3 linked regions of the Arabidopsis thaliana genome follow. The protein of the gene in region 3 purifies or fractionates together with the protein of the main gene of each other region. This does not show direct contact. Each region holds a gene or a part of one and is shown on either strand. Other genes may lie near its edges. The genes, in order: AT4G32470, AAC3 and AT5G11770.

Region 1 (3,756 bases), on a different chromosome or scaffold from region 3:
TGTTCAGAAAGTGAGCACCAAAATATCAATGTTGCAGATTTATGCAGAGAAGCAGCGTTGACCACAAGAAAAGGGGAAAGGAATGCTTATGGGAGTGTGCGCTGGTATAGTGGTAGAGCTCCCAAGGCCTCTCGTTCCTTGCTTTCCCTCTCAACCTGCAAATCACAACATAAAGACAGGGATGATGACAACGATGATGGGCTATCCTTACAGAAAAGTTACACTCAGAACTTTTCAAACATTGCAAACATTTTCTTTATGATGCAATACTTCATGAAATAGGGAAATTGAAGATCTGAAAAAAACATATTGCTTCAAATAACGAAGGAAAAGACATGCATCTCATCAAAGTTTTCATCATTGTCAATGCAGGGAAGCAGATAGGCCCAAAAGAAAGAGGAAACTTTACTTCAAGAAGGAATAGTACGCTTTTATGACACTGAATTGCAGTTTGATTGTTCCTACCCTAGACGCAGATAATGATTTCTATGTTAGTTCATCAAAAAGGAGACTTACAAGAGCAAGCATGTCCTGAAGATAGCCACGGAATGGGGTCTGCACCGCCTGTATATGAAATAACCACATCAAATAAGAAAGTTACAATATCCACAACACTACCTAACAGTTGCAATTTCTGATAGCTTAATCAATTTTGGAAAACTAAAAGAGCCTTATACTTTTAAAGTTGTGAACTTTTGATAGCTTAATTAAGCCAGCAATAATAACAGTTACATTCTTATCTAATAACAACATCAAATAAGAAAGTAACAAAAATCGAAAAGTCTAAACCATAGAGTAATACAATAGTATACATGCAAACACCACTTTACTTTATTGAAAGGGAAAAAAAAAGATGTAACAAGGATTCAACCTTTCATCAATCCAAAATTTCCAATAATCTCAAGCAACAGCAGAACAAACACAGTAACGCAAGAGACAAGCATAGACTATGCATAAACTAGTTTATATACATCTAAGCTCCACAATCACAAAATCCCCAAAGTAAAGTAATATCTTCTGATGAACTAGTTTCGATTTCAATTTGATATCTTAATTTCTTCATTTTTCTAGCATTTAATCAATATTCGAGCTCAAATGCCTGGGTTACCTATCCATATTCTAGATTGATTCTAACAACATCAATTTCATCCAAAGAAATAGAGAATGAAGAATTATACCTGAAGATCCTTGGGGAGGTACTCGTGCTTCATGGAGAGGTCCATGGCACGCTTGAGACGCTGGTTACGAGCATCAACGACCTCCCTGGGCAATCTGTTCATAGCCTCTTTGATGTCCATACTGTAATACTGATCGTACAGATCATCGTACCTCAGACCTAATTAATCATTCAAACCAAACAAAACAAAGCAGATTCAGATTCACTCATGAACATTGACAACAAACTCGGATTTCAGAAATTAGGGTTATGGATCGAGAGAGATCTGACCGTATCTGCGAAGGCGAGTAGATATGGCTTTCATATGCATACGAGCGAGGAAGTTCTTCTTTGGATCGATGAATGCTTTCAGAAGCGACGCCATTTTTCTCTGTCTCTCTCAATTTCAGATTTTCTCTCTTTGTGCCAATGAAAGAGACCAAGCTGCTGTGTCTACAACAACTCCTGACCTGAGAGAGGAAATAATCACATAAGCTCTGCTTCACGTATTTATTTGGGCCTTAAGTGGCCCATCTAAGCTTCACGTATTTTTGACATATATAGGTCACGTACTCACGTAGTAATATTTGGGCCTTAAGTCGCTCAGCTGTAGCGTCATTTAAGGCCCAGTGATAACTTGTATTTAGATTATAAACTAACTTGTCTTAATAATTCACAAGAAGCACCAGTGGTCTAGTGGTAGAATAGTACCCTGCCACGGTACAGACCCGGGTTCGATTCCCGGCTGGTGCAAATTTTTAGTGACCCTTTTGTTTCGTGTTTCACAAATACATGCATTTAACTCTTATTCGATCCTACTTAAAAAAAAAAAATGGGGGAAATTTAAGTTGTAAAATCCACTAAACTCATGTGAATGTTATGTATAGGCAAAGCTAGTTGTATGAATGGTAACTAGATTAATCACAAAATTGATATACCAGTTGTGAAAAAAGAGGGTTTAATTTAATAGCTGGAATGAGAAATGATAATCTTGTTATATAGATGAGGTAAGTTAAACAATTATAATTGTATCTTCATTCTTTACTCTAGACGAATTGGATTCCGGCTAACACCACTACTTGAGAGTTGAAAGGCATGTTTTTGTCTGCTTATGATTAAATTAACTTAAAAAGTGATTAAGTATCGTCTCAAGTTGCAAGTGTAATTTAAGGTTAAAATGTTGTGACTTTAACAAAAATACTCTCAAATCTTGTGTTCCCACTTTCTTAGCAAAGCATTTTAAACAGTTTCTTGTCAATATCTAAACTAACTTTAATTAAGGTTAGGTTAAAGAGATAATCATGCATGTAGTAGGTACTTGATTTAGTTTGATATATTTTTAGTTTGGTGGGATTTTTGATCACGACCCATATCCTAATTGCTATTTTTTAGCCACGAAGTCGTCGTCATCATCCTTATCGTAAAATATGAAGTAGGCCTAAAGTTCAGTCCCATTTAGCTTCATGAGTTCATAATTTTTGTTTTCCAAATAATTGTGTTCCGATAATAACGCACAACTATGAATTGTAAAAGTTTGTTTTGTTTGTTTCAAAAGACAACCATATATAACTCGTCTGACTGAGTGGTTAATGCATGTGGGCATGTATAGTGACTATATGAGCTTGTCTCAATATTTGATGTTTTGAACAGTATAAACCGGTTTTAGCTTAGCACATAATACTCTCTCTGCTAAGCTCACGTTAATTTAATTAGATATATATTTATCAAATCACATAAAATTATATTGTATGGCAGAATTATTCAAGCAAATGCGTATATAAGTTATAAAATTTGGAGTGATGAACTGATGATTAACTTTACTGGACTGAAATGTTTTAAAAATTGTGTAGACTTGGTCTTTCTTTTACACAAAATGTTATAATTCGCTGATAAACAGCTTTCATAGCACATGGTTTTGGCCTCAATGGCAGTTAATTATTCAGTAACTAATTAATATCACGTTTGCCTTCTTTTTAATTGGCCCTTTTTGGCCGTCTCAATTTTTTTTTTAAAATGGAAATTATAGTTTAGTTTAAATTTTGTACTGTCACAAATTGTTGTCATATTGATAGTAGTTATCTTTATTTAAGATTTGATTTTTACACTTTTACACAACATTCCAATATTTCATAAGTGTTTGATAGTGAGGTCCATATATATTACACTGAAAAGTTGTATTTAATTTATATGATGAATGCAAATTGCCTTAATTTATTAGATAAACAACACTTTGTAGATCATTAAGAAATGGAACTTTAGTAGCACTTTAATTGTTTTTGCTTGGACATTAGATTGATTGTGAACTTTGATTTGATTATTGTTGCTTTATAAAAACACAATAAAGTGTCTACAGATAGATATTTAGGATACAATGTTTTAGATTCTTATTTTTAGGATGGGAATATCCCATCAGTCTAAATGCTGGGAGACAAACGAATTTATGAAAAAAAAGTATTCCATATTGATTCCTTCTTATCCCACTCTTCTTCCTGAATAAAGCTCTTAAATTCAAGAACTAAATGTTTAAAAACTACATAAATAATGTGGAATTCTCTGCTATTCCTAGGCGAAATGTGGTGTTTGTTTATAATTTTCCTTTG
Region 2 (3,756 bases), on a different chromosome or scaffold from region 3:
TCATTCTTCTGCGAACCGTGTCAATTGGGTAAGACGCCAATCCAGCTCCAATGGTGATTCCCCATCCCAGTAAGAAACTAGCAAGGAAGCTATCCTGTACAGATTATAGCAATGAGTAAACAGTAACAGAGGACTCAATATGTTGAAGTGAGGAGTTTTCTTTGTTTTTTACCTGGAGACCATCAACTAGAACCACAGGCTTCAAGGAATCATACAATCCAAAGTAAAGCCCCCGGTACACGACAATTCCAACGCATGAGATGTTGAAACCACGGTAAAGCCCGACAATGCCATCAGAGGCTATAGTCTTCTTGTACACGTCGACCATGCCATTAAACTGCCGCTGACCACCTTTCTTGGCCGCCTTCGCATCATTGGCTAAACGGGTACGAGCGTAATCCAAAGAGTACACAAAAAGCAGAGATGATGCACCAGCTGCACCACCAGACGCCAGGTTCCCTGCAAACCACTTCCAGTAGCCATCTTTTTCTTTCTTGAAGTTAAACAGCCTCTTGAAGTAATCTTTGAACGCAAAGTTTAAAGCCTGCAAAACAAAACTATTTGCTTAGCATACCCATCTCGACGTCTATACAAATACCACGTCAAAGAAGAGAAAACAAACCTGAGTGGGGAAGTATCTGATAACATTGGCAGTGTTTCCTCTCCAAAGAGCAAGCATTCCTTCGTCTTTGACTGTTCGAGCAAAACAATCACTGATTCCTTTATATGGCTCAGAGAGACGCCCAGCTTTGATCATTTCATCTTGATTCTGAATCAAGAGCTTCACACGCTCTATAGGCGCGGCTGCCGTCTTCGAAACAGCAGCTGAGACTCCTCCCATAAGGAAATCGATCAAGAAACCAGTACCAGTTTTCTCACTAGGAGCGTGAGCTAATACAGGAAATGAACCATGAGGTATAAGAGACGAGCCAACGCCATGGCTAGTTGGCTGCAATAGACTCTGCAAACCTCCATTGACATAAGCACCAGAGACACAGTAACCACGAGCTTGCACACTCGGAGAAAGTCTATTGATCAAGTAAGATTGTCCATGTAGCTTCTGAAAGACTGATGGATGCTTTGATCCATCCATTTTTTGTACAAATCAGTAAAAGCTGACTCTGAAAAACAAAACAAAACAAAACAAAACAAAAATACAAATTAAACACCACAAAATCTTGCTTTCTCGAAAATTTCTATATTTGCATGCTTAAAAAAGAATGATCATAACCAAAACTGGAACAAAAACAGAGAAGACATCATCAACACATTTCATACGATCCTAGTTAGCTTCGTTAAAGACACCATTTCAATCTGTCAACTATAATGCGACCTAATTAGCACAAATTAAAACCTAGTTGCAGCAGCTCAATTAAATCCTCTGTTTCTAAAAGATCAAGCAACGAGTGGCGTCGAGAAAACAGAATTCACGAGAAGCAGAACAAAAAAACAGAGAGAGCTAGGAGAGAAGCATTAATGATAAAGCTAGAACTTCTGGAGTCGAGAGCTTACCGTGGATTTTTCGCCGAAGCGTTAACGAGAGAGAGAGAGAGAGCTGTGGAAAATTGCGAGAAGAGTAGGTTTCTACATGATTCTCGACTTCTGGTCCTAAACTAAAAGACGAAACTGAGCAGAAGAGAAGGTACAATTACGAAAATGCTACTGGACTCCTTTGACCCGTTTCTTTCTGGGCCCAATTTTAAGGGACCCGAGTCTTGACTTCTTCTAAATGGACCCAAAATTTATTTTCCTAGGAAGATAAAATTCATACCTAATGAAAGTGAGAGACCTCTTTATCATTATGTGATATATGTCTCATCTACCTGAAAATTAAATATAGAAAAATAGAACAATAATCAAGACTTTTTTGGTTTGCCGGAAAAATATAATAGAGGCTTGTTAACTAGGTCTTAAAAAATTGGATGTTACTTAAGAAGCAAGAAAGAAAGTTGAATCTTTTTTTTCTTCTTCAGCCGGACAGAACTTTACAGATGCAAGGAAGGTGATGTGGTTCGAATTTAGTGATCCAAAACTAGTTAGAGAAATGTTCTACAAACAATGAAACAAACCGATACGTATTGAGAGTACCAGAATATAGGCAATGATATCGGCTCATGTATTAGATAACAAGACACATCATACATGTCATGCGATATAAAATAAACTCGAATTACATGCAATAACCTTAATATGTGTAGGTAGATTATTTCAAAAGATTCAAGAAAACTAAAAGAGAACTCAGCTGGAATTCATCCGAGTAAGAAGGAAACATGAGAACTACATGTGTTCATTAAACTAAGCCATGCATAATAAACTCCACCTTAGAAACGAATTGATTACTATATATATAATATATAGATATAGATTTCTCTTCGTACACGAATCATATATATCACCTTCGCTAGCTAGTGTACTGAGTTCAATGAAGATACATGCCATATTGGTAGTAGCGTTCTTGGTCCTGATGAAGACCGCCGTTTCCCAGGACAATAATCCGCTGGAACATTGCAGAGACGTGTTCGTGAGTTTCATGCCCTGCATGGGCTTCGTCGAGGGAATATTTCAACAACCTTCTCCAGATTGCTGCAGAGGCGTGACCCACTTGAACAACGTCGTCAAGTTTACGTCTCCAGTTACTAGACTTAATTCTCGATTCTTCTATTTCGGTTTCTTCTTTCACCATCTATAATTATATTAACTACGCAGGGATCGAGGAATAGGCAGGATAGTGGAGAAACAGAGAGAGTGTGTCTGTGCATTGAGATAATGGGAAATGCAAATCATCTTCCTTTTCTTCCCGCCGCTATTAATAACCTTCCTCTCCGTTGTTCTCTTACTCTCAGCTTTCCCATCTCCGTTGATATGGACTGTTCTCAGTTATTTTCATTCTTCTCTCCATAGTTTTTTAAAAATCTTTTCCTAGAAGAAAATGTTATATATTACATTTTTCCTTGTGCATAAAGGAACTAATGAACTGGTATAATTTTGTCATTACAGGTTCAGAAACACCAAGAATCCCGACGTTGAGAAATTAAATTAACTACCAGGATATATATCTATGAATATTGGGAAGGGAAGCCTTGTAACAGTTCTATATAGTTACAAATGATATATAATCGAGTTTATTGTAGATGTAATAGTGACTAGTGTTACAAAAGTACGAAGAATTTTCTGTAAGCGATTATATATATGTATATTCATCAGATATGGCTTCTCTTCTATTTCTTAGTTTTTACAATAACCATTATTACGGGAAGCAAAAAATGCCAAAATTGTCCATTAAGAATCAAAACTTAAGGACAAAACTTCTGGCTCTCGTGACATTTCTACACTTATAATTACATAGCCAAACGGATAACATAACGAGGCTTTTAGCTTTTTACAAAGAGGAACGTGGTTTAAAATTTTGTTTTTTAACAGATGAGTAAATGGCAACAACCTAATTAAATACATCCAGTGACTTCAGCAGAGTAGATCCAACACTTTCAAAGCCACGATTATTTCAATCGATCAGCTATAATACAATGTTACATAATTTCCATATACCAAGTTACCAACACGGAAACACCACCTATATAACAGCTGCAGCGAGTAGCACAGGAAAACCCTTTATTGATTGATGTGAAAGTAAATTGAAATTGTTTTTGGGTGCATAGTGCGAGTTGTTTCAGGGGAATGGGGGTACAAATCCGAGAATTATCCGAGATAATTTCGCAATTTTTTATTTTAAAATGATTCACAATTACTTAAAATAAT
Region 3 (3,756 bases):
CAACTTCCCATTGAAATCACCCACCTTGGCTCAGGCATCTGGTCATAAACCCTGTGATTGTATTCAAACATTAGAAGTTGGAATTTCACACAGGATAAAGAAGAACAGAACCATAAATCATTTGAGTTGATCCGCATATACAACTTCTCTCAATCTTACCAGATCAAGACTGATTTCTGCACATATCTCTATATACTAGTTTCTGACTAATAGTTAAATTCAGTATAAGAACTAATCTAAACCAACTTAGAAAGCAGTTAATCATCTCCCGAATGCATCTAAAATGTGCTCGTCTTATTGGTTGATGTTTACACAACCTCTAGCTATTAAGATTGACTTGGGATATTTTCTAAGTGTCTGGGCCTAAAGTTATCATTAATATAAGCACAGCAGCCATTGGCATACGTTTCTTAACAACAGGATTCTCATCTAAAGAACATAAGTTCTACACTTGAATGAAGACTTCATACATCAAACAAAAAAAAGAGGAATCTCTTAAGTGTGCCGGATATCAATTTCCTATAAAACACACACCAAGCAGAAAATATGTGCATCAAGTCTCAGATTCTAACTAAGCAAAATCATCACGCAAGATTCTAATCAGTCAACAGACGGAACTACAAAACAAGATAATGAAAACATCATAACAATGAACCTCCAACCTCTTACTAGTAAGACACTAACACATGTTTCCCTAATGAACACCAAGCTAGAAAATCTGAAATTCCTAACTCCCCTCAAAAGACGGGCACAGAGCTCACATAAAAAGAGATATAACTCCACCATATTTGTTCATCCCTTAATTAAAACGCTCCCAATTTCATGAAATTCGAACAAAAAACTTGACGAAACACTAGTTAAATCTGCGCTAGACAATGAATACGAACTGTATAGCTTCCCAAGTCATTCTTATATCCATACAGCAATTCTCAATTTGTCACAGACCTAGCAATACAATCAGAATACATGAACCCTAAAATCGCCGGAAAAGAATAAATTCCAATAGAAACCCCCAAATTATATCCTCCGAAAACCTAATTCAGAGGCCTCTAAAGCAGAAAACGCACAAAGTGAAATTAGAAGAAATCTTCCCACGACAAAACTATATCCGAGATCCAAAGATATAAATCAGCCGTTAATTCCATGAATAAGGGAGATAGAGAAAGATAAGCGTACTTGCGAAGAGCCGGAGCCATCTTATTGGTAAGAGTACCGGCGACAATCATACAATCAGACTGGCGAGGACTAGGCCTGAAGATGATACCGAATCGATCGAGATCGTAGCGAGCAGCACCGGTATGCATCATTTCGACGGCGCAGCAAGCGAGACCAAAGGTCATAGGCCAGATCGATCCGGTACGAGCCCAGTTCATGAGATCATCGACCTTGGAGATCACAAATTCGGCCGCTTTAGAGAGACCAGGAGGAGGAGGGGAGGTCGAAGGAGGACCAGGTCTGGTGTAGGAAGTCGGTGATGTGGAGGGAGAGAGAGCGGGAAGGGATGTGTGGAGGTGAGAGACCGAGGCAGCGGCGACGGCGCGTTGAGATTGGAGGAGGAGAGGGAGGCGCGTGGCGGTGTTGCGCGTAATCATCGCCATTTAGATTTGTCTCTCTGAGTTTTTTTTTTCCTCTCGTCGTGGAGTTGTGATAACCAAACGAGTCTCTAACCATTTACTAAACGCAGGTGGCGAAGTATTTATATGACTCGTAATCGTATCATTTTTTTTCACCTTTTGTACAGTATTTCATTTATTTCATAAAACAATGACTTGGCAATAATAATTTACTCTTGTAACTTTCTCATTACAAAAACTATTTAGACAGAAAATTTATCAAATCTTTAAAAGTATTAAGTTTTTGATTGTGGTTGTATGACTCGTGATATCAAGAAAAGGAAGAAAAAAAAATAGATAGAAAATTTATATGGAATGTGTAGAGCCAATTGTATTTTGATATGAATTGGAGAAATCACATGATGTATAACAGTATAATTAGGAAAAATCTTTCTATTTGTTTTAAAAATTCATGTTCGTATTTACGACGTTTTAAGTCTTTTGTTCATAGGGTTTAGATTCTGGAGAAATCACTTTTTCGTAATTACGAAAACTTTATTTTGTCTGTCGGTTTAAGTTTCTCTTGATTAGAAGTTGTATTTTAAGATGATTCTACATAAGTTGTATTGATAAAGTTTCATATGACCAAAAAGAAAAGAAGTAGAAAGGCTAAAAATGGATCAAGTCATAGCATTTTCTCTTTATTTCTTTTAGGCAAATTAGCTGATTAGCCAATTTTCGAAATTTGCATTTATCCTTACTTCATAAATCATTTAGTAACTAGCAATTTTCGTTAATCCACACTTATAAATCATTTATCGTATTTGCCATAATGAAAATAAAACAAATATACTAGTAGTCTTGTACGTTTTTGGAGTGAACTCAATTTGAAAATGTAATGTACACATTTTTTTTTTATGTTTAACATTGGGATTCCCTCTCTTTATTCGTTCCCTTTTCTTTGAATTTCAATAGGGTTTCTCTGTTTCCTTCCAACTTCCCAAAATTCAAAATCCCTTCTCTGTCACCGGAAAATTCCCAAAATGCAACCTCCGATTTGTAAACCCAGACCTCAGAGTCACCTCGAATTTCTGAAACCGCTTCTCAATGACTCGATCAAGCAGCTCTTGTTACAGTACCGAGGCGGACGAACCAATTTCTCCGATTTCGACTCCATTTTCACTCGTATTCTTAACGATCTTCCCGAACCACCACCTCTCGAGCTCGTCTGGTTCTACTCCGCCATCAGATTCTACTCTTCCAAGTTAGCTTTCCGGGATGATTCCGTTAGGTTAACTTCGTGTTTCTTCCAGCTGATAGTTTCGTTTTCCGATTCGTTTTCCGGTGTTAAGAAGGTATCGCTGTTATCTCCCGTTGTTTACCAGTTGAGTCGTTTAGTTATTTCTAGGAGGAGAGATGCTTTGAGCTTGTTAGAAGGGATTGTGAGCTATATTAGCATGTACTGTGTCGATGAACCTGGAAATGAAGATGATGATGTGTTGATGGTCTCTGGGTTTAGTTTTGCTGATTTGAGTCGAGTTTGGGTTGTGGATGAAGTGGAAGATAATTGTAGAGTTGAGGATTGTTTGGAGGTGTTCATGCCATTTGCTAGTGAAATTTTGCGTAAAGAGATCGATTCTGAGTCCTGTGGCGTTGGTTACTTAGCTGGAATCGTAGCTTCTCAGGTTTTCTTGCTCAGTTTGTGCTCGAGGTTTGATTTGGACTTAGGTAGATCCGAGCTAGATAAAGATCTGCAGGAATCTGTGCTTCAGATGATATCTGGGTTCCACAGTTGCTTCTTTTTTGGTGAGTGTTACTTTTTCTTTAGCTACTTTGCATTCTGTGGGAAATAGAGAAGCATTATGTGACTAGTGACTCCTTTTTCATAAGCTTCCAGATGTCTCAATTGGTTTTGTTTTCAATCATGTGTTCTTGTTCTTGTGACAGATGTCATTCTCAAGATGCTGCTGGAGCCATATCTGCATCTAACTTCATTAATGGGAGTGGTTGGTTCTTTGACTAAACTATGTATAATCTATTTAGTCTTTTCTCTCTGGGTGACTTGAAAGTTTGAAACTAGTGGCCTGTGCTTTCTATATGTGTATTCAGTCGGAAGTCCAATAAAGTCTGTGGTTTCTTAACCGAATCACATTGTATGTAACATGGAATTGAGTTGTTTTTCATGGCTGTTTAATCTTTCAGG

The links.
Region 1: the proteins of AT5G11770 (region 3) and AT4G32470 fractionate together in Arabidopsis thaliana (co-fractionation; one large-scale study listed by BioGRID). This does not show direct contact.
Region 2: the proteins of AT5G11770 (region 3) and AAC3 fractionate together in Arabidopsis thaliana (co-fractionation; one large-scale study listed by BioGRID). This does not show direct contact.

What each region holds. Positions count from the first base shown.
Region 1 is NC_003075.7:15,669,555-15,673,310, forward strand, and holds the start of AT4G32470 (Cytochrome bd ubiquinol oxidase, 14kDa subunit), read right to left. Parts: upstream 1,696-3,756; 5' UTR 1,542-1,695; coding exon 1,448-1,541; intron 1,337-1,447; coding exon 1,179-1,336; intron 565-1,178; coding exon 517-564; intron 467-516; coding exon of another isoform or gene 466-466; intron 156-465; coding exon 87-155; 3' UTR 1-86. UniProt on the Arabidopsis thaliana protein: Component of the ubiquinol-cytochrome c oxidoreductase, a multisubunit transmembrane complex that is part of the mitochondrial electron transport chain which drives oxidative phosphorylation.
Region 2 is NC_003075.7:14,041,689-14,045,444, forward strand, and holds the start of AAC3 (ADP/ATP carrier 3), read right to left. Parts: upstream 1,660-3,756; 5' UTR 1,513-1,659; intron 1,497-1,512; exon of another isoform or gene 1,355-1,496; intron 1,122-1,354; 5' UTR 1,094-1,121; coding exon 623-1,093; intron 545-622; coding exon 173-544; intron 95-172; coding exon 1-94. Other genes in the region: A7 (Bifunctional inhibitor/lipid-transfer protein/seed storage 2S albumin superfamily protein), read left to right, coding at 2,303-2,632, 2,707-2,876, 2,998-3,040.
Region 3 is NC_003076.8:3,791,332-3,795,087, forward strand, and holds the start of AT5G11770 (NADH-ubiquinone oxidoreductase 20 kDa subunit), read right to left. Parts: upstream 1,696-3,756; 5' UTR 1,599-1,695; coding exon 1,177-1,598; intron 52-1,176; coding exon 1-51. Other genes in the region: AT5G11780 (SNF2 domain protein), read left to right, coding at 2,597-3,359, 3,501-3,559, 3,756-3,756. UniProt on the Arabidopsis thaliana protein: Core subunit of the mitochondrial membrane respiratory chain NADH dehydrogenase (Complex I) that is believed to belong to the minimal assembly required for catalysis. Complex I functions in the transfer of electrons from NADH to the respiratory chain.